3 linked regions of the Macaca mulatta genome follow. The protein of the gene in region 2 interacts with the protein of the main gene of each other region in a biochemical or structural test. Links are inferred from orthologs where the notes say so. Each region holds a gene or a part of one and is shown on either strand. Other genes may lie near its edges.

What was found.
Region 1: the proteins of DLG1 (region 2) and ATP2B4 form a complex in vitro, tested with the Homo sapiens proteins (2 studies listed by BioGRID and IntAct, with this or other methods). The link is inferred for Macaca mulatta from reciprocal best matches to the Homo sapiens genes DLG1 and ATP2B4.
Region 3: the proteins of DLG1 (region 2) and KCNJ2 form a complex in vitro, tested with the Homo sapiens proteins (2 studies listed by BioGRID and IntAct, with this or other methods). The link is inferred for Macaca mulatta from reciprocal best matches to the Homo sapiens genes DLG1 and KCNJ2.

What each region holds. Positions count from the first base shown.
Region 1 is NC_133406.1:61,366,381-61,370,528, forward strand, and holds the start of ATP2B4 (plasma membrane calcium-transporting ATPase 4), read left to right. Parts: upstream 1-1,334; 5' UTR 1,335-1,721; intron 1,722-2,380; exon of another isoform or gene 2,381-2,565; intron 2,566-4,148. UniProt on the Homo sapiens protein: Calcium/calmodulin-regulated and magnesium-dependent enzyme that catalyzes the hydrolysis of ATP coupled with the transport of calcium out of the cell. By regulating sperm cell calcium homeostasis, may play a role in sperm motility.
Region 2 is NC_133407.1:2,616,637-2,620,201, reverse strand, and holds part of DLG1 (disks large homolog 1), read left to right. Parts: intron 1-408; coding exon 409-510; intron 511-768; coding exon 769-941; intron 942-3,565. UniProt on the Homo sapiens protein: Essential multidomain scaffolding protein required for normal development. Recruits channels, receptors and signaling molecules to discrete plasma membrane domains in polarized cells.
Region 3 is NC_133421.1:79,799,590-79,802,772, reverse strand, and holds KCNJ2 (inward rectifier potassium channel 2), read right to left. Parts: upstream 1,799-3,183; coding exon 515-1,798; downstream 1-514.

The DNA of each region.
Region 1 (4,148 bases), on a different chromosome or scaffold from region 2:
TGCTTCTTGGGGGCAGGGATGACAGCAAAGAAGGACAGGGGTGGTGTGAGGTGTTGGGTTAGAATGATAGGATCAAAGAGGCCTTTTCCCAACCCTCTGTTTAAAAGGTTGGGAAGTAGTGGCCAGTCACCTTCTTCACAGCATAGCTCATAGCTATAACCTGTGAGATATATGTCAACACGCCTTCCACAAGCATATAAACATGAGTGTGTTTGCTGAGGTAGGTGTGGGAATCTGTCAGTCAATGAAGATATGTTGTTGTGTGAACTAGCTGATGGTGCATGTTTGTGCTTGAAAGCCATAAAGTTCTATGCAAAATCTATGGGTGGCACTGTTGCACAATGCTAGTGGGTGTGTGGGTATGGGGGTGTGATTAACAGTTTACAGGCTGTGTATAAGTGTGCAGGGATGTCTGAGTGTGTCCAAATTAAAACAGAAATGTGTGCCGGAGTATGATACAAGTACAGGAAAGTACTTGGGCTTTGGAGTCCGTCTGACTTGGCCTTGAATTGTTGGCTCTGTCATGAACCAGATGTATAACCTTGGGCCAGACACTCAATCTTCAATTTCCTCAGCTAGGAAATGAGGCTAATAACAAGTACCTTTCAAAATTGCCATAAGGACTAGAAATGATATCGTATAGACAAAGCTTTTGGTGTCATAGCCTACGCATAGCAGGACTCAAAAGTAGGCAGCTATTTTCATGCACTGTCAGTATACCTCTGGTGGGTACAGGGGCAAGAGGGAACAAAATGTGACCTGTATATAAGGTGTTGGGGAGGAGGTGTGTGTGTGTGTGTGTGTGTGTGTGTGTGTGTGTGTGTTTACAAAACAATTTATTCTCCTTCTCCAAGGAACCCCCTATTCAGACAGGAGCAGGAAGGTGGGAGGGGACATACAAGTGTCCACAGACACCTTGGGTTTCTGGGTCCTGGATCTAAGTGAGTAAGGGGTTGAGAGGCCCATGGGAGCTGCAGGAAGCCAACCGCCTGCCGAAGCTTCCTTTTTTTTCCCCTCCGCCCAGCAACCGTTGAATACCGCCACCCACATCCACTCCCCACCTCCACCCTCACCCCTCCTCCACCCCACTCAGCTTTCTATTCAACAAGTGAGAGCAAGGGTGGAGAAGAAAGCCGACAGGGGAGAGGATTCCTTCCCTTTCTTTCCCCATTCCCCCTTAAGACGAACCAGGAAGCAACCGCAGGAATCGGGCCACCTTAACAGTAGAGTAATGGTTTGGCCTCATGCCAAGTCCCACCTCTGTTCCAGCTCCTGCTCCTCCCCTCTCTCTTCCCGCACTGCTTGGGGAGAGCTGGTGAGCAGGAGTCTGGCCCGAGTTAGCTAGAGCTGTTGCCATGACAAGCATTTTCTTAAGAAAGCTCTGCTGTTGAGATTGTCCAACGCTGGGGGCTGGGAGGGGGGCACGAACTTCCTGGGCAACCATCCCTCTGAAGAGAGCAAGATCAGAGACACCCGTCCAGCTCTCCTGCACCCTTTTTCTTTCAGGAACCTGAGAGGTCCTTCCCATTGGAAGGGCAGGGGGAGGAGACCCAGCCCACTCCCCGGCCTTAGCCGGAAAGGCAAGAGAGCAAAGCCAGCGTCTCCAGCTTGGTTGCCACACTGGGGAGACTGGTGGGTGGTCACCCCACCCTACCCCCATCCATGGAAACCCGGAGGGAGAGTCCCACTTGGAGAAACCTGGATCTTTGCTAGAAAGAGAGGTAGGCTTGCAGAGAATGAATTGACTTGTGATTTGCAAACTTTGTTTCTTTCTTTTCTCTCAGTGGCTTCTAAAACTCCCCGATTTTCCTCTTTCTAGCATATTTCATGCGACTGGGTTTGGAGGATTTTTAAAAATATGTGTGTGTGCACAGATTTGTCAAATACTGTTTTCTGAGAAACTGTATAGTCAAATAAGTGATTTATCTCTCTTTTTTTAGTTCTTGTCATTCCTGTGCTATGGGGTAGGGGAATGGAGGGACTCTCTTTTTGACACCAAAATTGAACTCTTGGAAAAAACATTTATCTCCCCTCCCTCAACCCATTCCATTCCTGCCCTCCCCTTCCCCCTTGGCTTGGGAATGAGACGCAGGATGGAAAACTGTTGCAAAAATATTTTCCGTGTCTGTTCCCTTTCTCAAAAGCCCAAAAGAGATGGGAAAAAAAAAAAAAGGAACTAAAGAAATCTTCAGCAGGAAAGGGGGGCTGCAGCGGGAACTAGGAGAGGGGCACTTTGGGGCCATGGGGTAGAGGTGGGCTGGGAGAAGTTGGGAGGAGTAGGGGAAGGAGAGTGCACAAATTAAATTTCTTTAGCTTTGCAGAGAAACCTAAGCAGTTTCTCTGTGTTGCTTGCAAAACATCCTCAGACTTTCACATCTATAATTAGCTGTGGAAAAAGCTGGGAGTTCCCTCGTACCGCTGTTGTTTGAGAGTGTGTGAGCGTCCAGAACCAACTGTATGAGTGTCTCCGAGGGCACCGCCCCACACATCTCTGGTCCCAAAGGGGAGGAAGGAGAAGGGTGAATTGAAAAGTTTCCGATTTCAAGGCTGGAGACTGTGGGGCTGGTGAGTGTTTGGCAGACGGGGTGGGCCACAGGCATCTGTGGAAGGGTCCCTGAGCATCTTGGGTCATTTCCTTGGTTTGCTGAAGAGCTAGGAATTAAGAATGGGATTGTCCTTCCTGCTCTCCTTTCTCTCTTTCTCTTACGTACTTGGTTCGCTCTTGGTAGAGGGGGCTGCTGGCATCCTTCCCCGAGTCAAGTCTGGCCTCATACACTCCTCCACCTCCCTGAGGGTACCCGCCGCTCTTCTCCAACTGGGTGTGGAGGGTGCAGGAGTGGCCAGCCACATCTTGGGAGGGGAGTGGGCACTCTGCTGGCCAGAGGCACCTCCCTCCTGGGCATTCCTGCCGGACTTACAATAACTTGCAGACATGATGCCGGCGCCTGCTGGCCGGGCAGGGGGAATGTCAGATGAAGCAATAGGCCGGCATTCAACTGAGGCCCCTGTGGGGAGGGGAAAGGAGTTGGGGAGGGAAGGGAAACAAAATCCCATTCTGTAGTGCTCCCTCCTCTGGGTGAGGAGTCTGGCAGGGAGTCTAGAGACCCTCGCCCTGCTCCTTAAGCCCCTCCCCAAGCTGCCCTTTCTCCAGGGCTTCTCATTGGAGGCCCTCCTGTGCCCCCTTCACTCTGGGCCCTCTACCTGGAGGAAGGAGACCAAGCTTATTCCAGGCTGGGCCAGGCCCAGGAAAGGAGCCTGGGGGTGAGGAGGGGCTGGGCCAGGAGCGTTTAGGAAGAAGGGGATGGAAAGAGGCCTCCTAGCCCATGAGCTGAGTTACCCTCCTTGGCTGAGGGTGGTGGCTTGGGGAGCAGACTCCGGGAGGGGCAGGAAGGATGGTGGCAGCTTGGTAAGCCGTGTTCTGGAAGGTGGGCCCTAAACCCTGAAGCAGACAGATCTGTGGGAATCAGGCTGGGGGAGAGGAAACACCTGCCTTCAGCCCCAGGGCTTGGAGGAGTGGTAAAGGCTACAGCTGAGAAACTGGGGGAGAAGGAAGCAAAACACTTAGAGGAGAGCTCATCTCGGGGCTGAGGAAGCAACAGGAACCGATTTTCATTTTGAGGTGTTAATTGATCTGACTGCACCCCATTGGCTAGACTCTTCCCTACCTGTATTCTGGTCGGTAAGGGAATGAGGCCTTCCCCAGTGGGCAGGGTCCCCAAGACAGAATCAATGCCCGTGTTCTGGAGGGAGGGGATCCATTTCTTTGCTCCTCCTCGGGAGTCCCATCCTCCCTGCCACCATCTTGCTGAGGTGCAACCCCGAAAATCACGCCGCTTCCGCCGCGGCCTCCCGTCGTGGGGGCCCAGAGTGTCACTATTCCTGCAGCCGGCCTTCCTATTTTCAGTAATCTGATTAGGGGTCGATGTTGACGGGCTCAGGGACTGTTTCTCCGTGAGGTCGTTATTTAGCGCGCACCGGGTTGCCTGCTCCCGCGGCTTTGAGCCTGGGGTCGCTGCCAAAGCGGGGAATCGGCTCCCGCAGTCTCAGCCCTTCCCCCGGGGCTCGGGGCGGGATCGACTGCGCAACCCCGCGGCCCCTCTGCTTTCCGCGGCCTCTGCGACCCCGCCCCGCCAGCCTCTCCGCTGCTG
Region 2 (3,565 bases):
GTTAGATCATCTTTTTAGAACACTACTACTGGGATTATATCACTTCCCACATCCAATTTCTTTTCTGCCCTTCTTTGCTCTGCTTCCTTACAATTTCTACTTCAGAGCCATCTGTAAAACACTACACTTTATGCTTTGATTTGCAATGTAAAGAAACATTATCTGCTAACATACCAAATTTAACTTGATTTATCAATATGACTTCTAACAAGACTGAGTAGAGTTTAAGATCTTAGTCAAGATTATAAAAGAGCAAGTTATGCATCTTTGGTTGATGGTAGAGTGAGATGGAGAAAGAAGAAAAAAAATATTTAAAACAGTTAAGGATATTTTTGTTCTGTAGTGAAATAAAATACATTGATATTTGTTGACTGTTTATTCCTTTTAACGTGCAGTTTATCTTTATAGTTAATTACACTCGGCCAGTGATCATACTGGGACCCATGAAAGACCGGATCAATGACGACTTGATCTCAGAATTTCCCGACAAATTTGGATCCTGTGTCCCTCGTGAGTAAACCAGACAAAAACATTTCATTGTTACTCTTAACAATGCCTGTCACTGTGTGTGGGAAAAATAGGTAGAACCATTTTTTAACGGTTTGTACCTATTTTATCAGTTACTCTTCCATCCTCCATATTGTTGTCCTTTCTCAGATTTAAATTAATCTGTTGAACTTTACAAAACAATGATACAAGTAGAAAATGGATTTATTGTGGGTTTTTTTTTTAATATTAAACACTTCCCCAAGTTTTTTTCTGTTAAAGATACAACTAGACCAAAACGAGATTATGAGGTAGACGGAAGAGATTATCATTTTGTGACTTCAAGAGAGCAGATGGAAAAAGATATCCAGGAACATAAATTCATTGAAGCTGGCCAGTATAACAATCATCTATATGGAACAAGTGTTCAGTCTGTGCGAGAAGTAGCAGAAAAGGTAAGCATCAGACTAGTCCCAGAATATAGCTGCTAATCAGATATGCCTTTGACAGTATGAAAGAGTGGTAGGATAGATACAGCATTAATTAGTTTTATTAACGTAATGAATTTGCTTACCTACATGATTAATTTTTGGTGGCTCAGGAAAGTGCATACAAGATAAAACAGGTAAATAAGGTAGACAAAGAAAGTGAAAATAGGAATGGTAACATGAATGTAAGAGGAGAAGTTATTTTAAGGTCATTTGCTAGAGATAGACCTTTGTTTAACCCTAACCCTCCAGCATATATTATAAGGAGATAAGGGCCAGGTATGGCAGCACACCCTTATAGTCCTAGCTACTAAGAAGGCTGAGTTGAGAGGATCACTTAAGCCTGGGAATTTGAGGCTGCAGCGAGCTATGATCATGCCACTGAACTCCAGCCTGGGCAACAGAACAAGACCCTGGCTCTTAAAAAAAAAAAGAAAAGAAAAGAAAAAATCAATAAATCTAACCACTTAAAATTTTTAAAAACTTTTTTTATGGCCAAAGAACTTTTCCAAAAACTATTAGAAAACACCATTAACAATGTCAAAAGACAACTGACAGAAAAAATTTGCAAGAAGAAAAGGGCTAATATTCCCAATATATAAAGAACTCATAAAAACAGGGAATAGAGACCAGAAACCCAATAGGGAAAAAAAAATGGACAAAAGATGAGAATACATAGTTCACACAAAAATAAGATATAAAAATGGCCTTTGTACATAGGATATGATGTCCAACCATTTCAAATGAATAACTACATTGAAGAGGGGAGAAGGGAGAAGTCTTAATCCCAGAGATTCTTTTAACACAAGCTGAAGACAGAAAGATCTGTAAACAAAATAAAATTCTAATCAGTAGGTTTGTTGGGTGGAGTGTATGGTCTTACAGTTCTGAAACTAATATATATTCTAGGGTTGAGCAAATAAACTAATGTAATGACAGTAGTGGGAGTGAGGTTTGACTGTCAGAAAAAGGGAGAGGATAAAATGAACTCTGATAATTGGATTGGAGATATTAGATAATTAGAGCTATGAATATGAACCCATGAATTGTAATAGAGTAGATCTAGAAAGATGTGTATTTACATATACACACACGTATGCTTATTTGCTCTATCCACTAAGAAGACCTAAAAATAACCCTGAATAAGCCATGAGAATATCTGGTGCCCAGGTCTTGGCTTCTAAATATAATTCGTTAATTGAAAGATTCAGGACTCCTTAGAGAAATGGCTGATTCTGGGGCCAGGACTGGAAAAGTGCAAGATGAGCCTGTAACATTTTTGCTGCCAGAAAAACAAGGGAGCAGTCCACGAGTGATGAGGGTGTGTAAAAAGGCAAGGAACCAAGCTGTGGGGTCCCCCACTGGCCAAGTCTGAGATAATTTGAATATCAAGATAAATGATAATCACAGATTATAATATATAGAGTAAAATTAAAATCCTAGACTCCATAATGAAATAAACACAGATGGCCCCCAACTTAGAATGGTTCAGCTTTACAGAGGCGCAAAAGTGATGCATATTCAGTAGCAGCCATACTTCAAGTACCCATACGGCCTTTCTGTTTTTCACTTGTAGTACAGGACTCAATGAATTACATGAAAAATGCAACACTTAATTATAAAACAGGTATGTGGGATGATTTTGTCTGACTGTAGAGTAAGTGTTCTGAGCACATTTAAGGTAATCTAGGCTAAGCTATGATGTTCAGTAGGGTAGGTATATTAAACGCATTTTCAATTTATAGTATTTTCAACTTGGGTTTATTGGGACGTAACTCCCATCATAAGTCAAGGAGCATCTGTATATGAGTAAATAAGTGGATAGAAGGGAACACTTTGGACTGTCTACTAATCAAGGTAGAAGAAATGATTAGAAAATCTTTTGAAAACTGCATGGTAATAATTGTTTCAGGCAAAAACCATCAGTGTATTCTAAAATTAGTGAACATTTGATGAAAAATGGGATATCTATATAGTCTCAAAGTGTCCTCCACCAAAATACTTATCAGTTACAAAGGCAAAAGTAATAATTTTACAGTGGAGAAACCTAGCAGATAAAACCTTAAACAAGTGATCAAAATTAGCATCACTACCAGTGGGACAAATAGATATAATATCACCTCCCAGATATGATGGACTGAGAAGGACACACATTATATCTGTGGTATTCCTGCCAAAAATGTGTAACCTGCCATCCGAGAGTGAGGAAACACACAAACCCAGGTTGAGGCATATTCTATGACGTAATATTTTATACTCTTCAAAAACATCAAGATCAAGAAAGACCAAGACTGAGGAATTGTGTCAGATTGATGGAGACTAAGGAGGCTTTACAGCTAACCACAGTGTGTGATCCTATGATCCTGAATTGGATCCTGGACCAGGAAATTTTTTTTTTCTTTTCCAATAAGGAACATTAGATGGCCACTTGGAATCATATTGTGATTATATAAGAGATGCCATTGTTTTTAAGAAATATGAGGTAAAGGAGCATTATGCAGTTTTTTCTCAAACTATTATGTACATACATAGAAAGAGCTAAAGCAAACATAGAATATTAATATTTCAGTATCAAGTTACTAAAATGTTTA
Region 3 (3,183 bases), on a different chromosome or scaffold from region 2:
AGCCAAATACTTGCCACTTTGAAGCGCATCATGAGCTTTCAATCAAGTTCAACACTGACTTTAAAATTACACAGAAGGAAAACTACACTGCAACAAAAATACACATTTGTGTTCATGTAGTTAGCAGCTTTTCAAAAATTAAGGCAGAGTCTTGCCTTTGTTATGCCATTAAAAACATCCTTGTTCCCTAAAGAGAAGCATTCTGGATAAATCAAATACCCAACCAAGGCTTGCCTGCAAGTTCAAGTTTTGGAAAAACACAAAACAAAACATAAAAACCCATAACTTATTCTACAACATCTATGTGCCATTGGGTCACAATGGAGGCATGGTTAGTGCTTTATGCTAATCATGGAGCTTACAGTCTTTCTTTGAAACCATTGTGCTTGCCTCAGTCCCTTGTGGCCGCTTGCTTGACCCATCTTGACCAGTACCGTCATCTGTATAACTGTTTTGGGCCTCTGACCAACAGACCGTGTTGTAAAGTAACTATTCCAGAGGAGGAATCAGTCAGTCATATCTCCGACTCTCGCCGTAAGGGCCTGGGCTCTAGAGGTACACTTGCCTGGTTGTGAAGGTCTATGTCAGGGGGCGTGTCCGTACTAGTGCTTTCTGGAACTCCGTTTTCACTGTCATCTTCCTCTTTGCTTGTGAGGGCAACTTCATTTTCATAGCAAAATGAATTCGCATTTGAGAGGATGTATTTCTTTTCTGCTAAGTCTCTTGCACTGCAAAGGGGAGTGTTGGGGACTTCGTAAGTTTTGTGGAACCTGGAATAGTCCACTTTGTAGTAGTGCTTCTCTTCAAAGAGCACAGGCTCATAGCGGTGGCCCCACAGGATTTCATTTGCTAGATAAGAGCTACGGCACTGTGTCGTCATGGCAGTGGCTTCCACCATGCCTTCCAGTATGACCACGATTTCAAAGTCTGCATTGTCAATGTCCTGTTTACTCAAATCATATAAAGGACTGTCTTCGTCTATTTCATGGACTATAGTGATTGGGGACACCAGAAATATACGATCGATTCCACTGTCAAACCCAACATTGATGTCTATTTGATCCAGAGGGATATACTCCCCTTCAGAAGTGATTCTGGATTTGAGGAGCTGTGCTCGGACATGAGCTTCCACCAAGTGGCTTTTCCGAAGATTGCCCACTCGCCACATCAAACACAGCTTGCCATCTCTCATGGCAATCACAGCATTGTGACTGAAGACGAGAGTCTCGTTTCTCTTCTTTGGCTTTGCCATCTTGGCCATGACTGCACCAATGATGAAAGCATCAATGATGCAGCCCACGATTGACTGGAACACCACCATGAAAACAGCAATTGGGCATTCATCCGTGACACACCTGAAACCATAGCCTATGGTTGTCTGGGTCTCAATGGAGAAGAGGAAGGCAGCCGTGAAGCTGTTGACTTCGGACACACAAGCTTTGCCCTCTTTGGATGCATCCAGGTCCCCATGGAGCAGAGCTATCAACCAAAACACACAGCCAAAAAACAGCCATGACAGGACGAAAGCCAGGCAGAAGATAACCAGCATCCACCGCCAGCGAATGTCCACACACGTGGTGAAGATGTCTGCGAGGTACCGTTGCCCCTTCTCACCCACATTGATGAACTGAACATTACAGTGACCATCTTTCTTCACAAAGCGGCTCCTGCACTGTTGTCGGGTGTGGACTTTACTCTTCCCGTTCCCAAAGCCATTTGCAACTGCCATGGTGGCCAACTTCATACCGTCTTCTTCTGAAGAGACAATGCTGTAGCGGTTGGTTCGCACACTGCCCATCGCTTCTGCTGGGGACTCCAGTGCCTCTGCTTTGGAAAACAGTCTGAGTTTTTGCAAAACGCTTTGGAGAAACAGTTTTGAATGTTCGGTGAAGACACACACACACAAAAAATGAGGAGAGATGGGTGTCTCTGGGAGCCTCAGGGTTCTACCAAGGTCTGTCTGCTGACATGCAGAGTTACTTTAATAACTCAGCTGACATCCAGAGAACATGTCCTGCAAGAAAAGAGAGATTGTGCATTACAAAATAAGCCACTCTTAAAGAATTCTACTGTCTAAGACAATACATCCTAACAAAAACACATAATCAGGTAAAGATAAGTATACTTCACATTAAATTATAAGGTTTTACATTTCTTTGTATCCTAAGCATGCTTTGTAAACCTTTTATTTAAAAGCATAAAGTCGTTAAACATAGGAGAGTTGTCTGTGACAGTTGTTCAACCAAAATGTCAGGTCAGGTCCCCTTTCCCTTATTTTTGGCCAGGGATCTAGAATATTCTATTTTTCAGGTCTACCTCTCCCTTCTCTTATTCTCTTCTTTGGCCTGCCCCACCTGCTACGATCCCTGTTAAGCAGATGAAAGACTGTCTGATCCCAAGGTTTGTCGTAAAATTTTTGGAAAGAGGACATGTTTAGAAATCTTCACGTGGACGCAGTATTGATATTCACTGAGTTGCATGTGCACTACGGGAGAATATGAGAGCCCCTGATGGCAAGGTTGAAATCGGAAGACAGACTATTTTGTTTAAATGATATAACTAGCAGACCAGATAGGCTGAGGAAATGCTAGAGGACGAAAGTCAGATTCCCACCTGCAAATATAATAGTGATATGGATTTTGAAGTAGGCTTGATTGAGTGTATCCTGAAAACAGAGGGAACTAGTGGACAAAACCTCCTACGATGGTGAATACTGCCCCTATTGCTTATAATCATCTGAAATGGATCCCAGTTTCTGGATACTGTTTGGGCTTGCTTCATCACTTCTCACACTTCAAGCAACCACTATGCAGAAATGCCTGCTAAGTCTCTATTAGTGCAGGTAATTCTGGCTTGAAGACTTTGAAGACGCAGGTTTGCTCTGGGGGATAGAGAGCAATTCTGTTGCCTAGCAATAAGAGTCCTGAAATTCTCCTGAGATGGGGCTGTCATGTGTAATGACAGGCTAGGAAGTAAGCACCATTGTGCGAAAGGACCAGGTCTTTAGCGGATTGAGATAAGGCAGGAACTCATTTCATGTCAGTCCAATGCTGTGTTCTCTCAGACAGAGACAACTGTGTAAGGACAGATCGTAAATGCTAGTCCGCTTACTTTCATTTCCAGCGCTGTTATTTGCTACAGGTTCCTATGGAGAAGGCACTCACCTTTACCTAATATGTGCAA